Linked DNA regions of Bombyx mori. The protein of the gene in region 2 binds, or shares a complex with, the protein of the main gene of each other region. Links are inferred from orthologs where the notes say so. Each region holds a gene or a part of one and is shown on either strand. Other genes may lie near its edges.

Region 1 (3,500 bases), on a different chromosome or scaffold from region 2:
GCTGTGAGCTCGTCCACATATTTAAGCAATAAAAAAAAAAATTAAAAAAAACAGCTATGAAAAATAAGCTACAGCATTGAGAAAATTAATTTAAAAACAACTCTGGTAGTTTGTGTGTGTCAGCGTTGGTAAGAGGGATTGGATTTATACTGAAGCAATACTGTAATTCATCGTTTCCCAAAGTGTGCGATAACGCCCCCTCGTGGGCGCTGTAGTAGTTTTTCTCGCTTTAGTAGTTTTTAAAGTAGGTGAAAAAATAGGGGCGCTATAAAATAATTTATTCTCAAAGAGGACAGTGGACAAAAAAAAGTTTGGTAGCCACTGCTGTAATTATAAAGTTTGTTGATATTTTTATTAAATCATCGTTGATCACTAATGCTTATCTAGGATTTAAGTGATTATCTTACTGAGATCTCATGGTCTACTGCACAGGAAAAATAGGCAGGACATTGCTATCTACTCATAGGAGATTACAGCAAACCAATGTCCCAATGCCTTCATCATCAAAAACAATAGTAGACATGTCCCGACTTCAACATATTGAGACTGTTCTTCACCCATATAAAAACATCAGGCACGGTAACCATTATAAACCCTTTTCCTAATTCAATCACAACTGTTCATATTAAGCCCATGGGAACTCACGGATTCGTCTCTGCTTGGAGCATCCTTCTCAAACTGCACCGGTCCAGAGCGGGTGTTGGAGCTGCTGGTGCCGGCGAACTCTTTGTCCGCCACGAATCTGTCAACAAACATGACATCTCATATCATATGCCACTGACACTACACAATGTCCATCTCAAACATCTATGTAATACAACAGATTTGCCAGTTTTAATTTTTTTATTGGATTATCGGTCTATCCGGTGTTATATCAATAAAAAAAATTTAATAAAAATCACGCCACGTTAACTGGTCCCGTGCTAAGTTCGTAAAGAGCTTGTGCTACAGGTACCAGATAACGGAAATAAATGTAAGATTTTTATTATACACGTACATATATTTAATATACATCCATAACCCTGGAAAAGACATTTATATTTATCATACAAATATCTTCCCTTGGCGGGATTCGAACCCGCGACCGCCTTGTGTAGTGACCATGTCACTTACCACTACACCAAACGGCCGTTAAATATCAATAGACATTGGAATGCACAATGTTTCACTGCAGAACTGGGTAAGATTGTATGCAGCTGCCTTGTCTATAGACAAGGCATCCTAAAATCAGTCCCATTCGCGGGGAGAGCAGGAATCATTTGAAAATAATAATGGAGAAGGCACTGCTATCAAGACATACATGGTTGTCTGAGTACTAAAAATATAGAGTAATAAAGTAGGAGTAATAAAAAAACCATCCTAACTGAAATGATAAGATTGTTTTAGCTTTTTAAATAAATATTTTAAACGCAGTCTGATTTTATATTTCATTTAAATTAGTTTTTTTCCTACGTTTTTGATTATTATTATATTTTAATCTCACAACTGAGACAAATAACACTTCGCATTTTAGAATCCGTTCAGGGCCGGATTTAGGTGAGAGCAACCGGGGCCCCCACAATAGACTTTGGAAAAAAAATCTTTCCAATTCCGACAAGTAAACACTAGTAAATCTTTTCTTCTCCTTCGACATTGCTTTTTTCGTTGTTTTACTTGACGTTAACACTAAAATTTTGGGGCTAGGGAGGCCTCCGCTCCTCCTAAGCCCTGAGGCCTCCAGAACTCTAAATCCGACCCAAAATCCGTAAAAAGGCTTGTGGCGCATGCCAACCAAGCACATATACCCACACATATTCAGTGCACACAATTTTCGGGAATATTAAATTAAGAGTTTCCCTGCGGTCAGGGTCACCTGCGCGTGTTGGCGACGGCCTCGAGGTCCCCGTAGGAGTCCCGGTCGGCGTGCCGGCTGGGCCTGTAGATGTGCGCCCCGACGTTGTCCTGGTTCCGCCACGGCTTGTCGTACACGTTGTACGCGTCGTCCTCTCCGTAACCTTGTTTAAATAAATTTAAGGTTGAATTTCGTGTGGCAAAAAGTATACCCGTTACTATGTTTTTTTTTCATGTTCACCAGGTGAGCCGTGAGAACGTTCACTAGTTCATAAGTAATAAATAAAAAAACATGCGTATTTGATATGACTTTTTTTGTCCCAGATGAGTAGGAGTGGTCCAACTAGATGCCGACCATCGACCTTGAGACATGAGGTCGATGTCTCAATAGCATTGCGTCTGTCCTAACCTTTAAACAGGCATGCATGACTGCTTTACTGATTCCACCGTCCACGTTACGATCACCCATCTAAGCAATATAAAAAGAAGAAAAAAAAAGGGTTGTGTTGAGATGATGGTTAATAGAGGAGAATGGAATAGAATAAAAATTTTTTTATTGCTCTTGTAGGCAGACGAGCATACGGCCCACCTGATGGTGAGTGGTTACCGTCGCCCATGGAGGTCAGCAATGCCAGGGGCAGAGCCAAGCCGCTGCCTACCGAACATTCGCTACGCCGACCCCACCTGGGGGGATGTGGTGGAGACAAAGAAGAAGACAAACTGTGAGGCCTCTAGCCTTACCGCTGTCAATTCCCTTGCTGTTGTTGAAGAGTCGCTGGTCGAACATGGCCTCGCCGCCCTGGTTGGTCTTGGCCGGCAGCCCCAGCGCGATCTGCTCCGAGATGTCGCGTTCCCGCTCTTTCGCGAATTTGGACCTGGAATTAACGATATATAATAGTTTAAAAAAAAAACTAACAAAATACGCGTTTATAGAAAATCCAACCAAAAAAATAGAAAATAAATTTTAATAAATTTCAATTAAAAATAGAGTAAGAAAAAAATATTTTATTATAAAAAAAAAGAATCTTAAGATTTTTTTAAATTATGCATAAAATATACATTAAATGAATAAAAAAATATGACACCACCATACCATGTATTTGACACACACAGGCATGCATACTATTTGTTTATTGTCAAACTTTTATTGCTTATAATCTGTGGTCAAATTGAGAACAGATTAAATATTGTTTGTATTTATTAATATTTGTCTATAGTGTAGTCTTGGCGAAATCTGTGATTATAGTATAATAAATAGTCTTTGATAATAGAACCTTAATAATATTCAAACTTAAATTAATTATAGTCGAATTTCGACTACTGCGGGACCACTAGTTCCTATAACGAGACAAGCTGTCCCGATCTACAATACTAAATCAATCTCAATTACTCATATACGAGAACTATGAAGAAAAACACACTCACCTTTTGTCCGGTGCTGCTCGAGCCATGTTTCTTTCGCGTTGCCTCTCTTTGTGCCTCTCAGCCCTCAGCTTGTCCCTCTCCGCCACACTGAGACCGCTCTCATCTATCTCGGGCTGTTCCACATCCTCTTCTGGTGCCCGAATACCTAATTAATATATAGGTAATATTATGTTCCAAGGATTCTTGTAATTGCTTATCAACTTTTAAATAGTCTTACCATCATCACTAGATATTATGTGATGATT
Region 2 (3,500 bases):
TAAAACGGATCTAGTATCTATGTAGCCTACGGTAGATACGTTTTTTGTAGCTTAGATTAACAAGCTCATTATCCACCTCAGATTATTTTCCCCATGCCCCATCTTAGTCTGGAATGAGCTCCCCTTCAGAGTTTCCCGGGTGCTTATGACATATACATCAAATTATGATCGAAAGAAGTTAAGCGGCAAAGATTTTTTATTTTACCCCTGGCGTTGCTCATTTCCATGCAATATTAGGTGAGTAACCATCAGAGTTAACAGTAAATGCATCAAGTCTAGCCAGCTAGCTAGTGCAACAAAAATAAGTATGTAATCTCAATTTCTTCATTATTGATGGCCACTCTATGCTTCTATCAAATAAGCGAGAATGTTTGCAGCATAAATAAGCAATAATAGTATGAACTGACACCATATTTGTGTTGAGTTTTGATATTAATGTATGATTATAGTATATGAAATTTTTGACAGGTAAACTTACTTAGCAGGTGACACAGATCTAGATTTCTGACCTTCAACTTCAGATTTCTCTTCAACGTTCTGTGTTATGGTTGGTTCCTTGTTTTCATCATTGACAGGTTCATTGACAGTTGGAGAATTATTCTGAACTGGTTCTTCTTTAACCTCTTCTTCATTCTTTTCTGGTGACTTACCGTTCTCTGCTACACTTGGAGCTAAAATTATTATTATTTTAACATTAATTGAGTAGAATCACACAACAGTTGCAAGGCTGAATGTAAATGGGGAATGTTTATTAACGAAAAAAATTATTTTATGTCAGACATCAAACCACTAGTTGTTGTATACATCCTATAGTATAATTATTTTGTCCGTGCAGTTTGGGTCATAAAAAGTCGGAGCGGTGAAGCGAATATTTCGCTCTCTCTTCCACTCACGAGCCTTATGGACGGGCATAGTGATGCGCATTATTGTTGTCTATAAGCGTTATCGATAGTGTATTTAGTTTTGTCATTTTGTGGGTTAGTGACAAAAATGAAAGAAAAAATCACTAATCGAACACTTACACCACATATCCGAGCAGCAAGTTAACGAACACGGCAGAAATTAACACTTTGTAACTTTTCGGGATCTATTCTTATTTCAGTGAAAATCTTTAACACATTGTTGATAACAACACGTTCATATATTATTTTGAATAAATTCTGCCGTTTTGATACAAAACAAAGGAGTAGCCATTGTGTCATTCAAGAAATTCCGAGAACGAATGCATAAAAAACACATTTCTCTTCGACATAATGTACTATAATTTTCAGGTAAGTACAAATGACTCTTAACATAACCATGTCTCACCACCCTTCGTATACCACCCCGCCGCCGTGTACCTGCCTTCGATGACTCATTTGCTTTTATCGATAATGGCGTTGCGCCGCGCTACATGCTCACCGCCCTAGCCGGGCTATGTTTTATAACCCAAACTGCACGGACAAAATAATTCTACTAGTGTCTATTCCTTGCCATTATTAAAAGCTTAAGGTGAAAACTACTCGTAACAAGGATGGGGGTATACAGTAAAACTTTTTAGCGACCCACTGCAAGCAATATCATAAAATGATTGTCGCGAATCACGTTTTCGTTTAATGAGATTTCACTATTTATTAACTGTATAAATGGGTTAATAAAACGTATACCAGAGTTCGTAGACATCAGAACGTGAATGCCACCACTTACTCTGAGACATAAGGGTAAGTTGGGGTAAGGTGGGGGTTGGTGCTTCCCGCTTCCGTAGGTTTAACCCGCGATTCCCTACAAGTGACCCCTGGGTGGTGCTAAACGGGAGCCGAAAACATAACCGGTGGTAGGACCTAGTCCGACTGGCTGGCGACCACCCTCCAACTAGAGTCCGCCGCCAAATAGCCTAGCTGTGTTCCGGCGTGTGGGTTGGAGAGCCAGTTCTATCCCTTCCTTTTCCCCTTCCTTGTTGGGGGTGAGTCTTGGTGACGCCTGGAACTTGCGGAGCAGACGTGCGTGCGAACTCGCGGGGCGTGATTGTTTGACGGGGGTATAGGGAGACCCAGTGAAACGGTACCCGCTGCCGCCCGCCGGTCAGTAGGGGACCTGAACCCGGGTGTCTCTACTAAACTCCGCCCCGGGAAGCTGTCCCGCCAACCGGTGTAAAATCCTGTCGTGCGGTCGTCGTGCCGGAGTCGGAGACCGGAGTGGATCCCGGCGATCGCACGCAGAGTGGACTGGGGGCCCTTCCATGCCCTGCGTCAGTCTCTCACGCAATCCGTGGTCGAGCACGTACTATGTTCCGCGCTTCATTCAGGTGTTGCCTCGATCTCACCTCCAACATCCTACCTCTCCTAATCCTACTCTCCGAAAATTTTACAACTATGAAGTCGCCAAAAAAAAAGAAAAGGGTTTCACAGGCGGTTCCCCATTCCACATTTAATGTGGATTTCAGCAATGTCAGGGGCCTACATAGCAACCTTGACGCCGTACACCACCACCTTGAGACGGCGCAGCCTGCCCTGCTTTTTTTAACGGAGACGCAGATATCTGCTCCGGATGATACCTCATACCTTGAGTATCCCGGCTACGTATTGGAGCACAACTTCCTGCGTAAAGCCGGGGTATGCGTATTCGTCCGGGCTGATGTCTGTTGTCGCCGTCTTCGGGGCCTCGAACAACGGGACCTGTCCCTCTTGTGGCTGCGCGTAGATCACGGGGGCCGTAGCCGAATCTACGCGTGCCTGTACAGGTCCCACAGCAGTGATGCAGGTTCAGCTCTGTTTGAGCATGTGCAAGAGGGGACTAACCGCGTGCTTGAGCAGTACCCATCTGCGGAGGTGGTGGTTCTTGGAGACTTTAACGTTCACCACCAAGAGTGGTTGGGGTCCAGAACCACTGACCTCCCGGGTCGGACTGCCTACGATTTCGCCTTGGCCTACGGCTTCTCCCAGCTGGTGACACAGCCCACCCGTGTCCCAGATATCGAGGGGCACGAGCCTTCTTTGTTGGACCTTCTGCTGACCACAGATCCGGCCGGATACAGTGTGGTGGTCGACGCTCCACTTGGATCGTCTGATCACTGCCTTATTCGTGCTGCCGTACCACTCTCTCGTCCTGATCGTCGAACGACGACCGGGTATCGAAGAGTTTGGCGGTATATGTCAGCAGATTGGGATGGATTGCGTGAATTTTACGCATCCTACCCATGGGAGCGGTTCTGCTTTTCCTCTGCTGATCCTGACGTCTGTGCGGACCGACTTAAAGACGTGGTGCTCCAGGGGATGGAATTGTTTATTCCCTCCTCTGAAGTGCCCGTTGGGGGTCGCAGCAGACCCTGGTATAACAATGCCAGCAGGGATGCTGCACACCTCAAGCGGTCCGCATACGTGGCATGGGATAATGCCAGGAGACGTCGGGATCCTAACATCTCAGGGGAAAGGCGGAAATATAACGCCGCTTCCAGGTCCTACAAGAAGGTAATTGCCAAGGCGAAGTCGGAGCACGTTGCTAGAGTTGGCGAGCGATTGAAG
Region 3 (3,970 bases), on a different chromosome or scaffold from region 2:
AAAAATATTTTGTCCAAATGCACAGATTGCCACCTTTGATAATAGACGACTCATATACACATATGTTTAAGTAATATCACCTTCACACTACACCTACCAAGGTTCATCTCTGCACCCCCCTAAGGTAGACTGTTAGAGAATGCCTATGGCATTAAGTCCTTTATACCGTTTAGTATATAAAGTTATAAATAAATAAATAAACATATATTCAGAATTATTCAGATTATTTAGAACATAGATAGGACAGATGACAACTTGTAACAATCATTATAATTTGTCATCATTCATGAGTGTTAGAATTATTCTCATTTCATTTTTGAAACCGATTTCTTGGATTCAAGTCTTGATTATCTGTAGTACCGCTAATTGTGGGTGTTCATAGGTTGGCATTACAATCCTATCTGTTTATTCCTCGAAGCAATCACACTTTACCATCCGTGAGGAAATTTCCAGTATCTTTATTATTATCTTAAAATAGTCCAAGGCATATAAAGCATTGCTTTACAAATACACTATATTTTTTCTTTTAGAACTTATTTAGGTAATGTTTCTTATGAACTAGGATAACATAACAATAAACTAAGTTGAGCTCTGTCTGTAATTCTTAGTGTCTAGAATCTTCTTTCCACACATGGCACATATACCCTTTTTGTATGCACAAGCTTGGCAGTAATGTGATCCGACCTGGTGTACTTTCGTTCTGCAGATTCTGAAAAATAAAAGAATATATTTTAAAAACTTTTAATACATTTTACTGGAGGTATGGTTAGACCTAATAGACGCCTTTGAAATGTGGAGCTGGAGAAAAACGTTACAGATTCCATGGAATGCCTTTCTCACCAACGTGACTATTCTGAGAGAGCTTAATATCATAACTAGTCTTTCCAATATATGCCTTCGTTGGGTGCTGGAATTCTTCGGACATATTGCCCGTAAAGAGGGTCACAATCTAGAACAGCTGATGCTGACAGGAAAGGAAGATGGCAAACGTCCAAGAGGATGCAGTACCACGAGATGGTCGGACTAAATACAATCTTCTCTGAACATCAACTTCCACAATGTCCTTCATGAAGCTAAGGATCGCAGCAGATGGAGGGAAATCGTACGGAAGAAACTGATGCAGCGGGGGAGTTCAGTAATGAGGAAAACGACACGAGGAGGTGGAGGTGGTATGGTGTAATGTACTGAAATAGGTTCCACAAACCTAGTTATTGCAACCATAAATTTGTCCCATTTTCAAAGGAGAGCCATTTTTAAATTCGAATAAATCTTCAACTGCATCTCTTCATATAAAAACAACGTACACATTACAATCATCTATGGCCCTATTAATCTACCCATGTAGTGTACTAAATAAATCACTCAAGAGAAGAAGGGATAATGAATATAAAAAACATCCTTCAAACAAGTAACAACTAACTTTTATTGTATTGTTATTTTACATATTGGTAACTAAAAGTCCAGCAGTATTTAGTGTGTTTGTCTGAAGCGTTCGGGATTAGGAAGTATTATTATGAATATATGAGGCAAAATTGGGGAAGTATTATTAAGAATGTATGAGTTAAAATTGGAGAAGTATTATTAAGAATGTATGAGTTAAAATTGGGGAAGTATTATTAAGAATGTATGAGGTAAAATTGGGGAAGTATTATTAAGAATGTATGAGGCAAAATTGGGGAAGTATTATTAAGAATGTATGAGGCAAAATTGGGGAAGTACTATTAAGAATGTATGAGTTAAAATTGGAGAAGTATTATTAAGAATGTATGAGTTAAAATTGGGGAAGTATTATTAAGAATGTATGAGGTAAAATTGGGGAAGTATTATTAAGAATGTATGAGGCAAAATTGGGGAAGTATTATTAAGAATGTATGAGGCAAAATTGGGGAAGTATTATTAAGAATGTATGAGGCAAAATTGGGGAAGTACTATTAAGAATGTATGAGTTAAAATTGGAGAAGTATTATTAAGAATGTATGAGTTAAAATTGGGGAAGTATTATTAAGAATGTATGAGGTAAAATTGGGGAAGTATTATTAAGAATGTATGAGGTAAAATTGGGGAAGTATTATTAAGAATGTATGAGGCAAAATTGGGGAAGTACTATTAAGAATGTATGAGTTAAAATTGGAGAAGTATTATTAAGAATGTATGAGTTAAAATTGGGGAAGTATTATTAAGAATGTATGAGTTAAAATTGGGGAAGTATTATTAAGAATGTATGAGGTAAAATTGGGGAAGTATTATTAAGAATGTATGAGGCAAAATTGGTTTTTAAACATCAGGATTACTCACTTGCACTGTTGAAATGTGGAAGTGTACGGATTAAATCGTCCTTTTTTGGCGGTTAATGCTTTGTTTTCTCCAACAACACGTCCGCCGGACTCCACGGTATTCCTAGCTCCAGCCTTCCAAGGGTCCGGCGTTATTACTCTGCCCAATTTCTTTTCGCACTTCTCACAAACCATTTTTGTTCTGTTTCTTACTAACCTAACGAGCTTGTATTAGTACGAAATTTTATTAAATTGTTGTTTTGACTGAATAATATGTAGGTTATATTAATTAAATATTACTTATCAAATATTAAAATATGCTCTGCTAGTGAACAGCTAGTTTTATTAAGAAATCATAGTTAATACACTTAATATTTGTTAGAAATAAAATTTATTTAAGTTGATGTTGTTACTAATAGTTTTCTTTTGAATTGTCATTTGGATAGGCAACAGGAATGAAGCCCATACAGTCAAAACTTGTACCGAAGTGCGGTTCCGTGTCTGTGGTATTAAAAGTGGAACTAAAACAATACATAATACAAATTGAATTGGTTCTGGAATTAAATTGAATAAAGAAAATGAAATTCAATGAATTAATATAAAAGACGGTCAGGACTTAGATGAGATGAAAATACCTTGCAATCAAATGGGTGGACAGTTGGTTTACTAAGACGGACTTATTCTTCCTATTTTCCACGGACTTTTTGGAAGGGCCCGTTATGCCACGGCCTATTTTTCACTAAGACTACGGTTAATATTTCAATGTACTTTTACGAATTCTAATCGATTAATATGTAAATTTTAAGCCTGAAGAGACATTAAATTAAAAAGTAACAGCTTGAGTGCCCGCCAAATAGTCCTTAATGTTTCGTGCTGTATTTTCTTCAAATTAAATAGTGTAACGTCGGTCTCATGCAAACAAGAACTGCTTGGCAGTCCAAATAGGTTCGAAGCCAACTCGTGCCACTTATAAATCGCATAGTCCTACACGACTTCTGTGCGCACCCTGACCCTTAAGTACTTTGTATATTGTTTTAGAAACCGTCAAGACAAAATCGAGATCATGGGGCTTAAGTTGAAGAAAAAAACAAAATAATCACGTTTTCCCTGTAGATAAAAAAAACATCAAATAAAACATCATATCCAATTGCAATATAAGTATTGAGCGATTTATTAACTCGTTTCTCGATAAACATTTCAATAGATTTTATTATTCAACACATTCAACTTTCATAGTTTATTTATCCGACGCCGAAAGCTAATCTATATTAGTGGCACGTTACTCTATCAAAAGCGTTGTAACGGAATGTTGCAAGAAATAAAAACATACGAATTGCTAACTCTGATGTTCCTCCGCCATTTTCGTTGGAGCATCACTTGGATTTGTGTCATTTGACTCTGGGTAATATTGTTCTTGTGGAGCCTCCGCTGTGTTCTCATAGCTTTGTTCGTAATTCTGCTCGGGTTGGTAGTTGACTTCGGCTATGTTGTTGTATTGTTCTTCGCTATATTGCGCGTTGGGGTCAGCATATTGCTGATATTGTTCATAATTTTCATATTGTTCGTTTGCGTAAGTCGGCTCCTCGTAATTATTTTGGTATTCAGGTTGGTATTGCATTTCTGTTGCTTCGTAATTTTGTTCCTGTCCAATGAAATTCGCATCCTCTTGATAAGTCTGTTCTTTATGCTCTACGTCC
Region 4 (4,003 bases), on a different chromosome or scaffold from region 2:
TGGTGGCCAGACATTAATTTGACACAGCGTTCTGTTGGTGCAAACGGTCTAACGTCCCAAATACGGAGTGTATTATCCATTGAATTGGACAGGAGATATGCACCATCCCATGACAATGATAATCCTGGAAACGAGTATTGCAACACAAGTTAGACATTGCCAGTCATTAAATGTATCAAACTCATATGATTTCTATTCACATATTTATTGCCGCACCTGGGTAGATGACTTCACGATCTACAAGTAAACTAAACAAGTAGTCTTAGTCATGAATTATTACTACTTATAAGGCTAGAGACATTCTAATAATAGCTGTTACATTTCTCTAAAATTACCTAATACCAGTTTGGGCTACCGAAGGCAGAATGGGTGAAGAAGTTTACAATACACCCGTCAACAAGTAACAACAGGGATTATAAAGAGAAATACATATGTATGCAACTACTACTACTGTACTGCATACCAATCAATCCATTCTCATTTCCTCATAAGATCAATATTTGTTAAATACATTGTATGGTAATCAGTATTTTAGTAGTTAACTAATAGACTGAAGTCATTACTGTCATCATATTGCCCTCACTCCACTCTAGATAAACTGTATCAATATTTTAATTTAATTTCTGGTTGCAGTATTATCACCTAATAAAAATCTAATTAATCAGAATCAATAAAGAATTACCAACCTGTAACCGTGTCTGTATGTCCTTTTATTTTCAAGGAAATCTGATTATTCCTTATATCCCACATTTTGATGACATTGTCCACACCGCTGGATAAAATTTTTTCAGCTGTATCATTGAAGAGTACACTTGTGACTGGATATGAACTGTCAAACGATGCAACTGGATTCCTTTTCCTTGCATCCCATAATTTTATGGTGTTATCATCTGAAGCTGAAACTAAGAGTTCTGGACCTCTTCTTGCTCCTGGATATAGAGATAACACGAGAAAGTTAGAATAGATTGTTACGTTGTCTAAACCAATTTTTTAATGGATGCCATGAATGAATTTACAGTTCTATTGTATCCACAGGCATTGAGATTTTAGATTGATGTTATCTGGTTTCAAACCATGGTTACGGATTATAGTTTCAATTTTAGGTCAATCCCACTTTATTTGGATCCAATCACTTTAAGGCTCTGAGAGTGCAAAGTAATGTTTAATTAAGTTACTGTTGTGTATTTGTACTACTAAAAAGCACTAGCATGAAAACCATTGTGTGTCAAAACTCAAACTATGAAACATACCTGAAACAGAGTTCACAAAGTTAGCGTGACCCTTTAACTTCTTGATTCTAGTCCCGGTGGGTACGTCCCATACTGCTACAGTATTGTCCGTAGCTCCAGTGTACAAATGTGAACCATCAGGTGAGAAGCAAAGCTGCATTATTGCTCCCGTGTGACCTTTCATCACCATCACATTCTCGCATTGACCATACACATTCCATATTACTGTGAAAATAAGAAATCAAAAATCATAATATTACTAAGTTGGACTTGTACAGCTTATAAGTTGTCAACATGACCCTGACATTGGTGGAAATTTTCAATGGTATAAACATTTATTTTGTATTTTTTTATATTAATGGTGGCTTAAGCTAAACAGTTTATATCAGCTATCATTTTGAGTATTGTATCATATTGTTCCCTACATTATAGGGCTCGTGTCACTAAAACCCCAGTACAGTGTGGCCCATGCCTGGGATATTGGTACTGGCAGTCATTCTTAATAATGCATATTAAATCAAACTGAAATGGATTTGGACTTCAGAGAAAATTTAAGACGCTGTAATATAATGTCTATGGTCTCCAATAATCACTTATACACTAGGTCAGATTTTACCTTGTTCACTCTTTTCAATTAAATTTAAAACCTACCTACTGTAATCTTATAATTTGTGTTATCAAATGTGTCAATTCTTCATTAACGTTTTGATAGTAGTATATTATTAGAGTGTGAATTTTAGAAACACTTTGCCAATTCAAAAGCTTTGTCATGATTTTGTTACTTACATATTTGTCTGTCAAAGCCTGCAGAAGCCAAATGTTTGCCTTCAGGATGAAATTTGCCTGTGAAAATTTCTCCTTGGTGTCCTTCCAACAACATAATTGGCGCATACAAGTTTGATGTTCGTGGAACCTAGAACGACAAGAATATAAAATACAAAACACAGGAATCTTGGAATCTTGTTGATCACTACAAATGTTGAAAAATAAATCTTAAAGTAAAAGCCGACTAAAATTCGTATTACCTTAAATTTTAACAAATATCAATCATGATTACCTAAGTACAGATTGTGTTTTTCTAAAAGTTTATTTTAGATGTTATGTTCCATTTCTAATAATTATAATTATGATCTCTTGATGCTTTCACCGTGGCGTTAGAGTTCTTAGCTTTTATAGACCGTACTATTGAGAAAATAAGTAAACTTTATTGAAAACAATACTCACAGATGAAGTAACAACTGCCTTTTCTCTGGTGCCGACTACTGAGATCTCATGCCGTACTCGCTTGGAGGGTACAAGAGACACATCCTCTGCTTTTCTTTTAGTTTCTATATCTGGCATTTTTTAAGATGTTTATTTACCTATTTGTTTTTATAGCTACAAACAGAAATACTAACCTTAAAAATGGTATAAGGACTGTTTAGCTTGTTTCATTTGTCAATTGTATAGGCAAAAGGAAAATAGCCAATATCGCCAAATTCTTTGTAACAAAAGACAAAGCTACCTTCTAAAAAGTTTTTTTTTTGTATACCTATTCAGATGAGAAGATGAGATAATGAGTCATTCAAAATGAAGAACTTAAAGTGTTTACTAGAGCCCATAGTCATCTACAATGTAAATGCCGCCATGCACCTTGAGATTTGAATTCTAATGTCCCAGTTTTTAAAGTACAATGGTTTTTTTTCGGGCCCGGGGCCGATCCTTCTAAGAGGTCCCCGCGCCTAAGAGGGCGTGAGATATGTGGAACTTTACGATCTGCAGGTTTTGGGAGCAGACCGCGGGCCCAAGGAGTTTTAGGGCCCTACCGCACTAAACGACTCCCTTGCACATTTACACCCAACGTCCGATCTCCGTCCGGGCTCAGAATCCGGACAATGTAGGGGGGGTTCCCGCGGTCAACACTATAACCAGACACGCGGCGCCCCTCCGAGGACCCCTGACCGACGGGTCGTCGAGACGGTAGTCGATGACCAATGACGCTGGTCTCCGCGGTACGGTGGCCCTACCTGGCCGCCCGGGCGATGCCGCTGGTGTTCTGGGATACTCTGCTTGGCCAAAACCAGCCTGATGGGTCAGAACGCGATACACCTCCGACCGCGTTGCTCTTCCACAGTATGTTCGGCGACGATAGTGACGACGACAATGCGGACCGCATTGCAGGCCGTAGTCGCTGACGTGTTGTCCCGTCCTCCTTGTGCCAGCGCGCTAGAGTGATGGTAGGTAGCGTGCGGCGCAGCCTCAACCCCCTCAGGTGAGGGAGTTGGCCCGGGGGAGGCCCCGTGACCATCACCGGGAGGAGACTGCCTCCTCAAAAATTCAATGGTTGTCCCAGCCTTCGAAATGAAACGTATTACTGCTTTATGGCAGAAATAGGCAGGGTGGTGCTACCTATCCGTGCAAACTCACAAGACGTCCTACCATCAGTAATTATGCAAATTATAATTTTGCGGGCTTTGTTCTTACTACACGATGTTATTCCTTTACCGTGGAAGTCAGTTTAGTTGATATGTACGTATTTCATTAGAAAAATTGGCACTTGCCTGCGCAATTCGAACATCGTTACATCGCTACATACGAATGCACCAAACGTCATATCCTTTAGGTCACGACGGCTATAAATCATTTGTTTAAGTTACAATTTTTTCACGTGTAGCCCCGATCGCTTTGTTTGTGTAATGAACTTTTAAAAGAGACGAGAACGCATTTTTTTTTTTTTATTGCTTAGATTGGTGGACGAGCTCACAGCCCACCTGATGTTAAGTGGTTACCGGAGC
Region 5 (4,017 bases), on a different chromosome or scaffold from region 2:
CTGAGGTGCTGATGTGCAGTGTGAGCTTGTATGGTTAGACACCACTGTCCTGTGCGTCTGTACAGTGAAGCCGTCATGACTTCTATTATTATACTATCTCAGAAGCAGTAGTGGCCAGTGGAATTTGACTAATAATAATTATAGTTAGTTGACACTGCGTGTCTCATAAATAAAAACACTAGTTATTATCCAAATTGTTTTTTATTTGTTTTCAATCTTTTGATATTCACACCCACAACGACACATCCTATCACATATCTGCTGACAGTCTCAGTAAACTTGTTACACTGTTTGTAACTAATCTAAATTCGAACATAAAACATTCAAATTAAAAATATTTTGCATAAGAGGTTGTCGTGTCCTAAAGGATAAGATGCCGAGTTACACACATTTAACAAACATGCATGATTGTTGCAGGTTTTATGCTGCGAAGCATTCCAATTTGCCCATTAAGACAGCATTTATCCCAAACAGTACAACTGGGACTTTGATCTCAAACCTCATGGTAGGTGCAGGCCTTCATAAAGTCTATAGGCTCCAGTTACAGTGCAAAAAAATTCAAAATTATATGGATAAAACATTGTCAAAACTCGGCCATTGGTTAAGTTTGGTTTGTACAAGGCAGTTTATAATAACTTTTTATATTTAATTACAATAGTCACCCCCGCATAAACCACACATAGATATTTCCTCAAGCCAAAACAAGATTGAACTATTACCCATCATATGGACAAGATTTCTAGATTATTGGGACTGATATAAGGATAGAACATAGAGATTAAACATTGTATTGATTGGGAGTCACAATAAGTCACCATAGGGTAGCATCAGTGTGTAGTGTCTATTTGATCAAATGGTCCATGAGACCTAAGATGTGTAAAGCAGATTGAAGGGTGACCAAAATAAAAAAACAGAAAATCTGGAACAGGACCTTATTGTTACATTTGAGAACATAATAATAATCTTTGAACAAACAGTTGTTCTATTTCCAAAATTTGTATTTTTCTCACTTAGATATATCAATATATAAGAATGATAATGAAATAATTCCTTGACAATTGAAATATAAGACAAGTACAACTTAAGCTATCTAAAAAATATCTTAACGCTAGCGTCGAGATGGTCCTGACCCACCTTGCCAGCCTCCACGGTGGCCCCCACCTCTTCCACCTGCTCGTCCTCGACCAGCAGCTGAAAATTTCAAAGATTTGTATTTTACTTCTTGATTCCTCTAGATGTGTGAGTAAGCTTACAACCCACTTGATTAATGATTTACTGTGGCCCACAAACATCAAAATAAGGATGCTGGTTGGCATGATACTTGAGATGAGTATGAAGAGATACATATATTTGATCGCTCAAATGTATTGTAGTTACTGTCCAGCCCGTCAAATCAATTCACATTCCTGTTTAGCAACAGAAATTTGCCGTAATTATTTAAATACACAAGAATGGGTTTTCACAAATGTAATAGATACAGTTATTAGTTTGCATAACATTATGTAAAATAGGTTTTACTTTAGATGTGTGAGATTGTGTGCATTAGGTACTTGACATGGTCTCATCATTCACATATTTTCTTTAACCACCCAAAGTAAAATTGTCAATAACATATAGTTGAATGATTAGAAACAATTAACATTGGAACAAAATACTGATTTGATATTACAAAACTTAAAATTGCAAATTTGACATTGTATGTCTATATAAGCACTCAAGAATGAAAAATTGTAAAATATTCTCAATTACTATTAAAAAACTGTGACAAAAAATATCTATACAGGATATAAACAAACAAGACATTTAAAAAATCAAAGCTTCAAACTACCTATTTTTTGCTCATTTGACCCAATTGATCACTATGTATTCAATGCATTTGTACTAATTTTAATGAAGGCTATTTATTGATTGTAATTAAATGTGCTTATCTTTCATACTTGCATACGTTTTCTACTTAGAAATTTTCGTTTAATAATTTGGTTATATAGTGCAGTAATTGTTAAATAGACTTCACTCAAGTCTAATTTATAACAAGCCTAAAGAAATGGGTTGTTCTAAGCTAAAGATGTTTATTCTTTTTTAAGTCTTTGAATTAAACGAAATTAAGAACAATGCATATTCACAATTTCAGTGCTAGATGTAATTAGACTGCAAGTCAGACAGCACTCATTCATATATTAACACTCGTATGTTGTCTTGTTGATAATGAACACAATCACTACGTATGTGATGCGAGAGAACATTTAGGATACCTAGCTCGATAAACAAATCACATACACACTATTTTTATATTGTTCAATACCTTGGGCTCGCAGTATCGCACTCTTCCCTCGTCCTGCAGTAGGTTTATTCCCTTGTCTTTTGAACATTGGCGCGTTCTTCAACATGTCCGGTAATATTAAAAATCTGATCTTGGAACCACGGATGTACACATTCTCGAGCTGTGCAACTCGGCCATCTCTGTATGTGACTGTTACGAGAGTCATTTGGCAATTCATATTATCCTCAGCTTCAATTAATTTCCCTCTATAAACTTCACCGGTATTTGTTTCACAAGTCACTACATGACCTTCCGCCTCGTGAAGTACTTTAATAGGCACACCGATAGACATGTTTACGTTTTAGTTAAGAAAAACGTACGATAAAGGACAATAATTCAGTATTATTTCTTAGATTATTTACGATAAAAATGGGAAAGAATATTTCAAAAAAATTAGACGCTTCAAATCCATAGACATCTAATGTAATATGGCGGCGAGTTCCGTGCATAGACAATAGACATTTTTATTCATTCATTGACAGACAAAGACAACATAACCCATATTACCAAAAATCCATTATGATTTTTAATTCCCTTAGCATTGTGAAAATCAACTTTACTGGTGGTAGGAATGGTAGGATGTCTGCGAGTCCACAGAGGCAGACAACACTACCCTACCTATTCCTGCCGTAAAGTAGTACTACCTTTCGGTTTGAAAATGCAAGAGCATCGCAGGGTATAACTATTGAGATTTTGCAAAAAGTTAAATGTAATCTTAGTTAATTCCAACCATTTTTCTAAATAAATTACATTTCACTGTACATAGCCTAATAGACCTAGTTTCATTTGTAAAAAAAGCTAGGTGCTTAGGCTTTATGCTTGGGGTAGCAAGGGGGCGTGTAAATAGCCCTCCTGCGGCGGGAGCATATAAAGCGGGGTTGTAGAAAGGCGTGTAAATAGCCGTCCTAAGCGGTATGTGACAAATGTTTGTCACTTATAATTAGCGGAGCGGTAAAACTATATAGCGGTAAACAAAAGCTAGTAATCAAACTAAAGATATAAATTAAATACACATAAGCGAGCGGGCGGGCGAATGATTACACGAAGCAGCAATAAAATGGCAATAAATTAAAAGAACTTGCACTCACCTGTAGATCTTGCCAGTGACTGTCGTGCGGGCGTCGGCGATGGAAGCACGCGGGCGGCGGGAGGGGGTGACGAAGCTCACGTAGCTTTTCGTAAGCTCAAGCACCACACAATATACAAGTGCCGCCATCTAGGCAGCTAGCGGTAAAGCGTGATCGATCGGGTAGAACCACGCTTTGGGTAGTCGCGGTAATTAGTTACTGACAAACTCCAAAGGTGGCGCCATCCCAATAATTCATTAGCATCCCATTACTAAATCCGCGTGACCATCCTGCCCGCCTTGAAAGTTCGCAGGACTTTCAACAAATATATAAAGATACTAAGATAGGAAGCATAAAGCTTAAATAGCGGGAAGTTATTTGAAAAGAAACAAATTTTAATTAATAATAAGCCATCATGAATGTTTACGAGTAGAGTTGAAGCGGTTGATGACATGCGGTACTCTAATTTATTCTAGCGGTAGCGGATATAATTTTACAACTGGACGTTTAAGAAATCCAGATTTCGTTTTTACCAAAGCAACGCGTATAATGTTATCGGCACCTGGATACACCTCTTGTATAACTCCAAGTGGCCAGCGGAGCGGTGGAATGTCATCTTGATGAATAAGA
Region 6 (3,664 bases), on a different chromosome or scaffold from region 2:
GCTGTGGACCTGCCCACTCAAGGTAGGCCGCCGCCGCCTGCTCCGCACTTACCACTGCCTCCCCTCTCACGCCTCACTCACAACGCCGCAATAATAAAAACATTCAACTTCGCCGGACACGTCAGTCTGGTCAGTCCGAACTCCGAATGTTAATAAGTTAATTTAATAATTATTTATTACTACCATTAACAATGCAGTTATGTACTTTAACGGGTGGCGTATTGATTATCAAATCGGGGCAGTAAGTTTGAATTTTTTGTAAATTAATCTCTTTAATACCTTCCCTAATTTAGTTTGGATACCCCAACTACCAAGATTTTTACCACTGAAACTCAGAAGTTGAGTCTCAAATTTCGAACCCGAAAGCAATGTTCGTTGTTATATGAGTAAATTAGACACATTATGCTAATGAACTGACCTCTATCTGTTGTTGAGGAAACAAACATTACTTTTTATCAGTAACGTGACATTAACTTGAAAATAAACTTTATAAAATACTATTTGTTTTCATATAATTTATTCAAAACAACAAAATGACATTTTTTTCATAATATTTACTAAAATTATATTGGTTTTCGTCAATCTTTTCTTTACGTGTTTGTAATATCCATAGTAGCATTTCCACTTCGTTATCACTATTCCGCTTACAATAAGGTATAGAATCGCTTTTAACAACTTTAAATTTAGAATTACAATATCAATAATGATTTACTATTTCACGTACTTTTCCATAAATTTCTTATGGAACTCTGATCTTAATGAGTCATTTATAAAAGTATTAGGTTTCTTTTCCGGTTCAGAACGAGCGCAATTTTTGAAAACAACGTCATCATCCCATCTTCTTTTTACCTGGAACAACCCAAAAAAAATATAGATATAATATTACGATTGTCCTTTTTTTTTATTTGCATAAATGGGTGTACGAGCTCACAGCCCACCTGGTGTTAAGTTGTTATTGCAGCCCATAGACATCTACGACGTAAATGCGCCACCCACCTTGAGATATAAGTTCTCAGGTCTCAAGTATAGTTACAACGGCTGCCCCGCCCTTCAAACCGGAATGCATTACTGCTTCACGGCAGAAATAGGCTAGGGGATGGTACCTACCCGCGCGTACTCACAAGAGATCCTACCACAAGTCGTTACGCAAATTAAAATTTGCAGGTTTGATTTTTATTACACGATGTTATTCCTTCACCGTGGAAGTCAATCGAGAATATTTATTGAGTACGTATTTCATTAGAAAAATTGGTACCCGCCTGGGATTCGAACACCGGTGCATCGCTCAACATGAATGCACCGAATGAGTTATCCTTTAGGCCACGACGACTTCTTAAATTCTTCTTAATCGACCCTCATAGATGAAGGTTGTGACTCTCATAACTCAGTCAGTCTCTCTCTAATGATATCATGTAGAGGCCTAATGACGAGTTGTGCTGAGTGGTGCCTCTGGGCGTTCCAATACCGGATTCATCCAATGCTTGAGCAGATTATGTTAATGTTCTTAAAATCACTTTCAATTACTTTTGCATTTTTGTATGGTATTTATTAGTGGGTGTACAAAATCACAGTCCCTGTGGTGTCAAAACAGCAACCAGTGTTTATAGAACCGAAAATGTAAAATAATGAATCAACCAAAGTCTAAATGAAATTATTTAATAGTCTTGAATCCTCAATATCTGCCGCTACATATGCATAATGAAAGGAAAAATAATTTTTTTGTGCATTATTAAAGTATTCCCTGTGGAGTATCAATGATATTGATTCAAATACAAGTAAACCGAAAACAATAGCAACAATACGTTTTAATAGTTATTTTTATAGCATAGATAGGTGAACAAACTTATGGCCAACCTGGTATAAAAGGGTTATCTGGTAGTTGTCAGTATACTTCACCAATGAGATATCAAAACAGATACTGATTGAATATTATTTGCACATGTTTCAATACACATCATATTATTATCATATGGCAAGGATATCTAAAATACCAATACACAACAAAAGCTCTGAATAATTATAATCTAAGTGAGACCCAAGTTTATAACCACTTAACACCAAAAAGACAATGCTAGACATACTTGGAAGAATGAAAAATAATATCTTGAAACAGATTTGAAAAGTACCATAGTGTACCAGAACAGAAACATACAACACATACATAAACATACAAACACATAAATATGCCATAAAAAAAGTAAAACACAGATAGTATTGTTACTATGGAATAACAAAATAACAAAAACAAAACACCAGCAAAACAACAAATGCCAATTAAAAGATGCATTTAAATTATTTATCAAGATAATCCTGGTCAATGTGTAATTTAATAATGTAGTATCATGAAACTGACTAGCCAGAATGAAGAACTTGTACTACAACAAATGAATACCTACCCACTGCAGAAACTAAAGGTCATCTACACTTTTTTTATTCCTTTGATGGGTGAATTAAGTTCATGGCCCATAGAAATCGACATCTTAAATGTTGTCACCCACTATGAGACATGAGTTCTAAATATCAGATTTTATACCAAACGAAAACACATTACTACCCCATTCTACTGCCATTCATTAAGCAAATTATAATTTTGGTGGGTTCGATCTTTATTAAACACTATTTGTTCATGATGGAAATCATTTGTCAATTTACGTTAAGTATATATTTCATTACCATTGGTACCTGTCTGCAGGATGAGAGCACCGGCACAGTCACATAGCTTTATACAAATGCACCGGGAGTCTTTATCTTTTAGGGCACAATTACTTCAACATTGATAAATACAACATCAATGACATCTGCAGTTCAGTTCAATCACCAAACAGTTATCAGGAGTTAAAACAAAATTCATTTTAATGTTTTTAATTACCTTCATGTCATTCTTCTGTCCTGCAGCGGAGTAGTTGAGTAAAGGATTACCCGATAATATGTTCTCCATTCTAATTCTTTCCTCTTCTTGTTTCTTTTCAGCTTCCTATAAGGTAAAACAAAATTGATTTGTGCAACAAGGTTTATTTGTTATTTGAATTTTATTTAGTTTGGGTATCAAAATACACTAAAGTACACTAAAGTTAGACAAATTAAAAAAAATATATATTGTAAAATTTAATTTAAACATACTTTGTGTACATCAGTACAAAAATAGTCTTATAGTATAGTATCTAACTCTAGTATCTAAGATATATCTTACTTTTTTAGCTTGTTCAATGGCCCTTTCCTTCTTAATTCTGTTTAATTCTGCTAGCAATGCAGCAGTATCATCATCTGAATCATCAGAGTCAGTGGAATCGCCTTCAAGAGGATCATCAGCATCAAGACTTGCTGCAGGAACTTGATCAACCTTAGTTCTTTTTGCTTGTGGTTCACTTGTACGTTTTGTAGTCGTAGTTTTAACATCTTTTTCTCTATCATCCAACTCCTTACGAAAATCACGAGAGCGTAATTCCTCAGATGTCCCTTGACCTGATTCCCTATTAAAATAGATTTTAATATTTGACTTTTTCTTTACATTTTGGTGCATTACAAACGTGGTATTTATGCTTTGAACGAGTTATACATTGTGGTTTTGAAGGGTAGCGTATTTTCTAAAACAATAATTCAAGTACTCTACCTTGTCTCAAGATGGCTTTTTATGAGGTCCGTTAAGCACTTACCACCACGCGGG
Region 7 (4,081 bases), on a different chromosome or scaffold from region 2:
CCACGAAGTGTGCGATTTCAATACTGTTAAATGGATACCTGTAGTTCTCACATTTGCGCGTGGAGCCTTTTTTATGGAGAGGAATTAACATTGATTCCGTCCAGTCTTCAGGCCACTGGCCAGTACGCCATATTTTCTGGCAAATGGAGTGTAAAATCTTGGTACCATCCGAGCCTAGGCTCTTTAACATTAGAGCGGTTACGCTGTCCCTCCCGCATTCTCCCTCAGGCAACATTGGAGGAAGCTGGTGCAAAAACTGGACCAAGGTGGTCACGATCCTCAGTAATGAGGAAACGACAAAGAAGAAGAAGAAGAAGAAGAAATGGATACCTTATCATCTGCTTGTCCGTGCAACTCTTCATTGATCTTCTGAGCCTTCTCAAAGATGGCTTGGGCATCTCTATCCTTTTCTGTGTCTAATTCATAGGTAGCTGTTGCATTCTCTCTCTGTTGTTGAACCGATAGTGTTGTCCTTTGAGAAGTCTGAAAGAATTGTAAGCTTATGTTGATCTAAATGGATCTTAAAACGGTTTTTTTTTATGTTCAATACAGAAGACAAGACTTCAACATAAAGATGACGTGTAAAAAGATTAAAGAGATAAAAAGATGTGTGCCAGATTTAAGTAAAGATAAACTGCTCTAATTGTTGATAATATTGATTTCAGTGGAGATATAACTGAGACACTAACAAATATCTCAAGATGCATGGCGGCATTTACTTTGTAGATGTCTATGGGCTCCTGTAACCACTTAAGAACTTAAGGAATAAAAAAAGACAACCCGAAAGGCTGAAATGGCAGCAAGCAGGCTGTTGGAACCAAAAGTTCTCAAGTGGCTATTATATATCTAAATATGTATGAAGTATGTGAAGATTTGAAGTGTGGGTAGGCCTTCTACAAGATGGACCAACAGCCTGTTTATGATATCTTATATCTGGTGCTTCAAAGGTGCAGATCTCATTATAGATCAGATTATCAAATCTGATGATATCCAAGTGAGTTGATGATGATGATGAGCTGTTAATGTTACTATACCTTTTCTTCATCATTACTATCATCATTATCTTCAATTACATCAATTTTGGATTTCTTCGGACCTCCTGTAGACTGTATGTTTGGATTTGGTTTGTTCACCCTTTTCGTTGGTAGAACTACTTGTTGCTCATCAGAGTCCGAGCTGTTTTTCTCTGAAACGTTACTATATTAAATTATATATTAAGCAGCCGTCTGGTGTAGTGGTAAGTGACATGGTCACTACACAAGGGGGTCGCAGGTTCGAATCCCGCCAAGGGAAGATATTTGTATGATAAATATAAATGTCTTTCCAGGGTTATGGGTGTATATTAAATATATATATATATATATATATATATGTGTATAATAAAAATATTATATTTATTTCCGTTATCTGGTACTTGTAACACAAGTTCTTTACGAACTTAGCACGGGACCAGTTAACGTGGAGTGATTGTTAGTAAATATTTATATTTATAAAAAAAAAAAATATCAAGTATATATGAGGCTGTCAGCGCAAAAGTGGCCTAACCCACAATTTTTCATGCTTATAATCATGTATATTGCAATTTATTTAATATATAATAAATTTTTATGCAAAACCGGCCTATCCATAGTTTCACCCATAGAAAGCAGATGGCTTTGTAATCATTATTTTAGCGCATATTGTTTTTTTTGCCAACTCAAATTCAAATTCATGAAAACTAAAGCCTCATTGCTCCATAATAACTATAGTACGCTTAGGCTGCTTTTGCGCTGACGGCCTCATATGATAAAATATATATCGACACTTGAAAGGCAAACGTGACTAAGCGACAATGCGTGAACTTTACGGTAGACTAATTTAAAGTTGAAATACATGAAAACAAAATTTATTTTAACGAATCCAGTTGTAGTAGAAACTAGCTAGTAGCTGTAGGATTGAAATAATTTTAATAGACCTAGAAATATATATTTTTTGCGGATCGAATATGGTTATTGCCTATCATTTATGTGCAAAGCAGTTATTGTCGCTTAGTCACTTTTGCCTTTCAAGCGTCGATATATTTTTTTTATAATGGTAATCTGCCGATAGTTTCTGCCAGCAATTTCTGCCAGTGTCGTGTTATGGCTACATATGGAACATTGTCGAGCTATTTAAACACACTTTATATTATAAAAAGTATCCAATTTTGGCTATATTAATGGTGCCTGGGACTAACACAAAATTAATGTTACTACAAACTTACATATTATAATAAAGATTATGTACAGAGAATAATGCGCTACATATAATTATAATTTTATAGTTAGTAGTTATACACTTAATAAAAGCACTTATAATACGGGGGTCTGGGAACAGTGAGAAAGAGGATATGAAGAAGCGATGAGATAGTTTTAATGTACTATTCTTAGATGTCTTTCGTTTGGAGAATAATTTAATAACTTAACGATCAATATTACCTTCTGAACTGGAAGTTTTACGTTTTCTGCCACCCCTATTCTTAATATTACGTTTTTTAAAAGTACTGAGTACTTCCACTTCGGCGTCTGACATTTTGAACGATTGTTTATTCAACCTAGTGTGTGCTTACTACGATATTAGAGTAATATCTACATAATCATTAATGAGGACACAATAATACTAAATAAAAGTACTGTATTTCACTTTAGGACCTTCAAGTATTGTCGGTATTTATAGGGTTTTTAATTAATTTTTGCATTTCACAACATGATAATATTGGCAATGATCAAAATAATGCTCATTTTTAACATTGACATGTGATTGATTTTGACGGATAGTTGTTTTTTTAAACTATGATTTGTCTATTGAATGGAGGGAATACTGCCCATACAACATAGCTTAAACATTTATAGCAATGCCTGAAGTTAAATCAAAACTTAAATTAGCATATGGAATAATAAGGTTAAATAAGAGAAAGCCGTACATGTTGTATAAGATGAAATAAAATAGCCTGTCAGTAAATTAGCGGAGACTTATTGAGGCTTCTAGGCAATTTGGAAGGGACCCGAGCAGCCACACAGCCACATTGAGGAATTCTTTTTTTTTTCACACTTAAGCCCTTTCTACTACTACTGTTAAAAGTTGAAACCAGAGTTAAAACTCAAACATTGTAATGGACATAATAAACACTATTCTTATCACGATGTTCATGTCTCTTTTATAGTAATAATAAATAGATAAATTAATAAAGTCATTAGCTGCCTTGAAATAAAGTGGAAGTGGAATCATAATTTACCATACAAACTGGAAATATTGAATGCTAAAAGGTTTAGGGTGTAATTTTTTTTTTATTGCTTAGATGGATGGACGAGCTCACAGCGCACCTGATGTTCAGTGGTTACTGGAGCCCATAGACATCTACAACGTAAATGCGCCACCCATCTTGAGATATAAGTTCTAAGGTCTCAGTATAGTTACAACGGCTACCCCACGCTTCGAACCGAAACGCATTACTGCTTCACGGCGGAAATAGGCAGGGTGGTGGTATCTGCCCTTGCGGACTCACGAGAGGTTCTACCACCAGTGATTACGCAAATTATAATTTTGTGGGTTTGATTTTTAATACACGATGTTATTCCTTCCCCGTGGAAGACAATCGTGAACATTTGTTGAGTACGTATTTCATTAGAAAAATTGGTACCCGCCTGCGGGATTCGAACACCGGTGCATCGCTCAACACGAATGCACCGGACGATTTATCCTTTAGGGCACGACGACTTGATATTTTAAGGAATGCACAAAAAACTCAGTCTAGTTTTATCGATCCTTGTATTAAAACGTCACAGGTTACAGCGCTCACTGATTGCTTGTCACTTGTCAGGCTTAATATTGCCGTATTCTGCAACGCGGCCCCGTTTTGTATTTCTTAGATGACCGTTATGAGAAGTGCACATTTATGAAACACAATAAAAGAATGACATCGTGTAATAAAATGCAAACTGTAAAAATAATAATTGTGTATAGGTATTGTGTGCTCGCATAGATAAATTATTTTGTATACACCATTAATGGCTGCCACAAAAAACATTTAAGAATGATCACTAATTATGTAGTATGATAAGAG

Evidence for each region.
Region 1: serine/arginine repetitive matrix protein 1 (region 2) and puff-specific protein Bx42 share a complex: the UniProt entries of both Homo sapiens proteins name them as parts of the minor spliceosome. The link is inferred for Bombyx mori from reciprocal best matches to the Homo sapiens genes SRRM1 and SNW1.
Region 3: serine/arginine repetitive matrix protein 1 (region 2) and cysteine-rich PDZ-binding protein share a complex: the UniProt entries of both Homo sapiens proteins name them as parts of the minor spliceosome. The link is inferred for Bombyx mori from reciprocal best matches to the Homo sapiens genes SRRM1 and CRIPT.
Region 4: serine/arginine repetitive matrix protein 1 (region 2) and U5 small nuclear ribonucleoprotein 40 kDa protein share a complex: the UniProt entries of both Homo sapiens proteins name them as parts of the minor spliceosome. The link is inferred for Bombyx mori from reciprocal best matches to the Homo sapiens genes SRRM1 and SNRNP40.
Region 5: serine/arginine repetitive matrix protein 1 (region 2) and small nuclear ribonucleoprotein Sm D3 share a complex: the UniProt entries of both Homo sapiens proteins name them as parts of the minor spliceosome. The link is inferred for Bombyx mori from reciprocal best matches to the Homo sapiens genes SRRM1 and SNRPD3.
Region 6: serine/arginine repetitive matrix protein 1 (region 2) and protein CWC15 homolog share a complex: the UniProt entries of both Homo sapiens proteins name them as parts of the minor spliceosome. The link is inferred for Bombyx mori from reciprocal best matches to the Homo sapiens genes SRRM1 and CWC15.
Region 7: serine/arginine repetitive matrix protein 1 (region 2) and E3 ubiquitin-protein ligase RNF113A share a complex: the UniProt entries of both Homo sapiens proteins name them as parts of the minor spliceosome. The link is inferred for Bombyx mori from reciprocal best matches to the Homo sapiens genes SRRM1 and RNF113A.

What each region holds. Positions count from the first base shown.
Region 1 is NC_085130.1:3,035,501-3,039,000, reverse strand, and holds part of puff-specific protein Bx42, read right to left. Parts: intron 3,401-3,500; coding exon 3,256-3,400; intron 2,706-3,255; coding exon 2,572-2,705; intron 1,995-2,571; coding exon 1,853-1,994; intron 743-1,852; coding exon 646-742; intron 1-645. UniProt on the Homo sapiens protein: Involved in pre-mRNA splicing as component of the spliceosome. As a component of the minor spliceosome, involved in the splicing of U12-type introns in pre-mRNAs.
Region 2 is NC_085128.1:8,261,578-8,265,077, reverse strand, and holds part of serine/arginine repetitive matrix protein 1, read right to left. Parts: intron 672-3,500; coding exon 479-671; intron 1-478. UniProt on the Homo sapiens protein: Part of pre- and post-splicing multiprotein mRNP complexes. As a component of the minor spliceosome, involved in the splicing of U12-type introns in pre-mRNAs. Involved in numerous pre-mRNA processing events.
Region 3 is NC_085130.1:5,681,330-5,685,299, forward strand, and holds cysteine-rich PDZ-binding protein, read right to left. Parts: upstream 2,731-3,970; 5' UTR 2,469-2,730; coding exon 2,296-2,468; intron 710-2,295; coding exon 580-709; 3' UTR 501-579; downstream 1-500. Other genes in the region: drebrin-like protein, read right to left, coding at 3,610-3,970. UniProt on the Homo sapiens protein: As a component of the minor spliceosome, involved in the splicing of U12-type introns in pre-mRNAs. Involved in the cytoskeletal anchoring of DLG4 in excitatory synapses.
Region 4 is NC_085109.1:1,115,028-1,119,030, reverse strand, and holds the start of U5 small nuclear ribonucleoprotein 40 kDa protein, read right to left. Parts: upstream 2,801-4,003; 5' UTR 2,571-2,800; coding exon 2,454-2,570; intron 2,143-2,453; coding exon 2,016-2,142; intron 1,455-2,015; coding exon 1,251-1,454; intron 930-1,250; coding exon 687-929; exon of another isoform or gene 125-686; coding exon 1-124. UniProt on the Homo sapiens protein: Required for pre-mRNA splicing as component of the activated spliceosome. Component of the U5 small nuclear ribonucleoprotein (snRNP) complex and the U4/U6-U5 tri-snRNP complex, building blocks of the spliceosome.
Region 5 is NC_085122.1:328,611-332,627, forward strand, and holds small nuclear ribonucleoprotein Sm D3, read right to left. Parts: upstream 2,801-4,017; 5' UTR 2,613-2,800; coding exon 2,303-2,612; intron 1,192-2,302; coding exon 1,109-1,191; 3' UTR 183-1,108; downstream 1-182. UniProt on the Homo sapiens protein: Plays a role in pre-mRNA splicing as a core component of the spliceosomal U1, U2, U4 and U5 small nuclear ribonucleoproteins (snRNPs), the building blocks of the spliceosome.
Region 6 is NC_085110.1:8,228,614-8,232,277, forward strand, and holds the end of protein CWC15 homolog, read right to left. Parts: intron 3,471-3,664; coding exon 3,191-3,470; intron 2,975-3,190; coding exon 2,870-2,974; intron 850-2,869; coding exon 712-849; 3' UTR 501-711; downstream 1-500. UniProt on the Homo sapiens protein: Involved in pre-mRNA splicing as component of the spliceosome. Component of the PRP19-CDC5L complex that forms an integral part of the spliceosome and is required for activating pre-mRNA splicing.
Region 7 is NC_085108.1:7,585,938-7,590,018, reverse strand, and holds the start of E3 ubiquitin-protein ligase RNF113A, read right to left. Parts: upstream 2,801-4,081; 5' UTR 2,551-2,800; coding exon 2,457-2,550; intron 1,187-2,456; coding exon 1,035-1,186; intron 484-1,034; coding exon 331-483; intron 1-330. UniProt on the Homo sapiens protein: Required for pre-mRNA splicing as component of the spliceosome. As a component of the minor spliceosome, involved in the splicing of U12-type introns in pre-mRNAs. E3 ubiquitin-protein ligase that catalyzes the transfer of ubiquitin onto target proteins.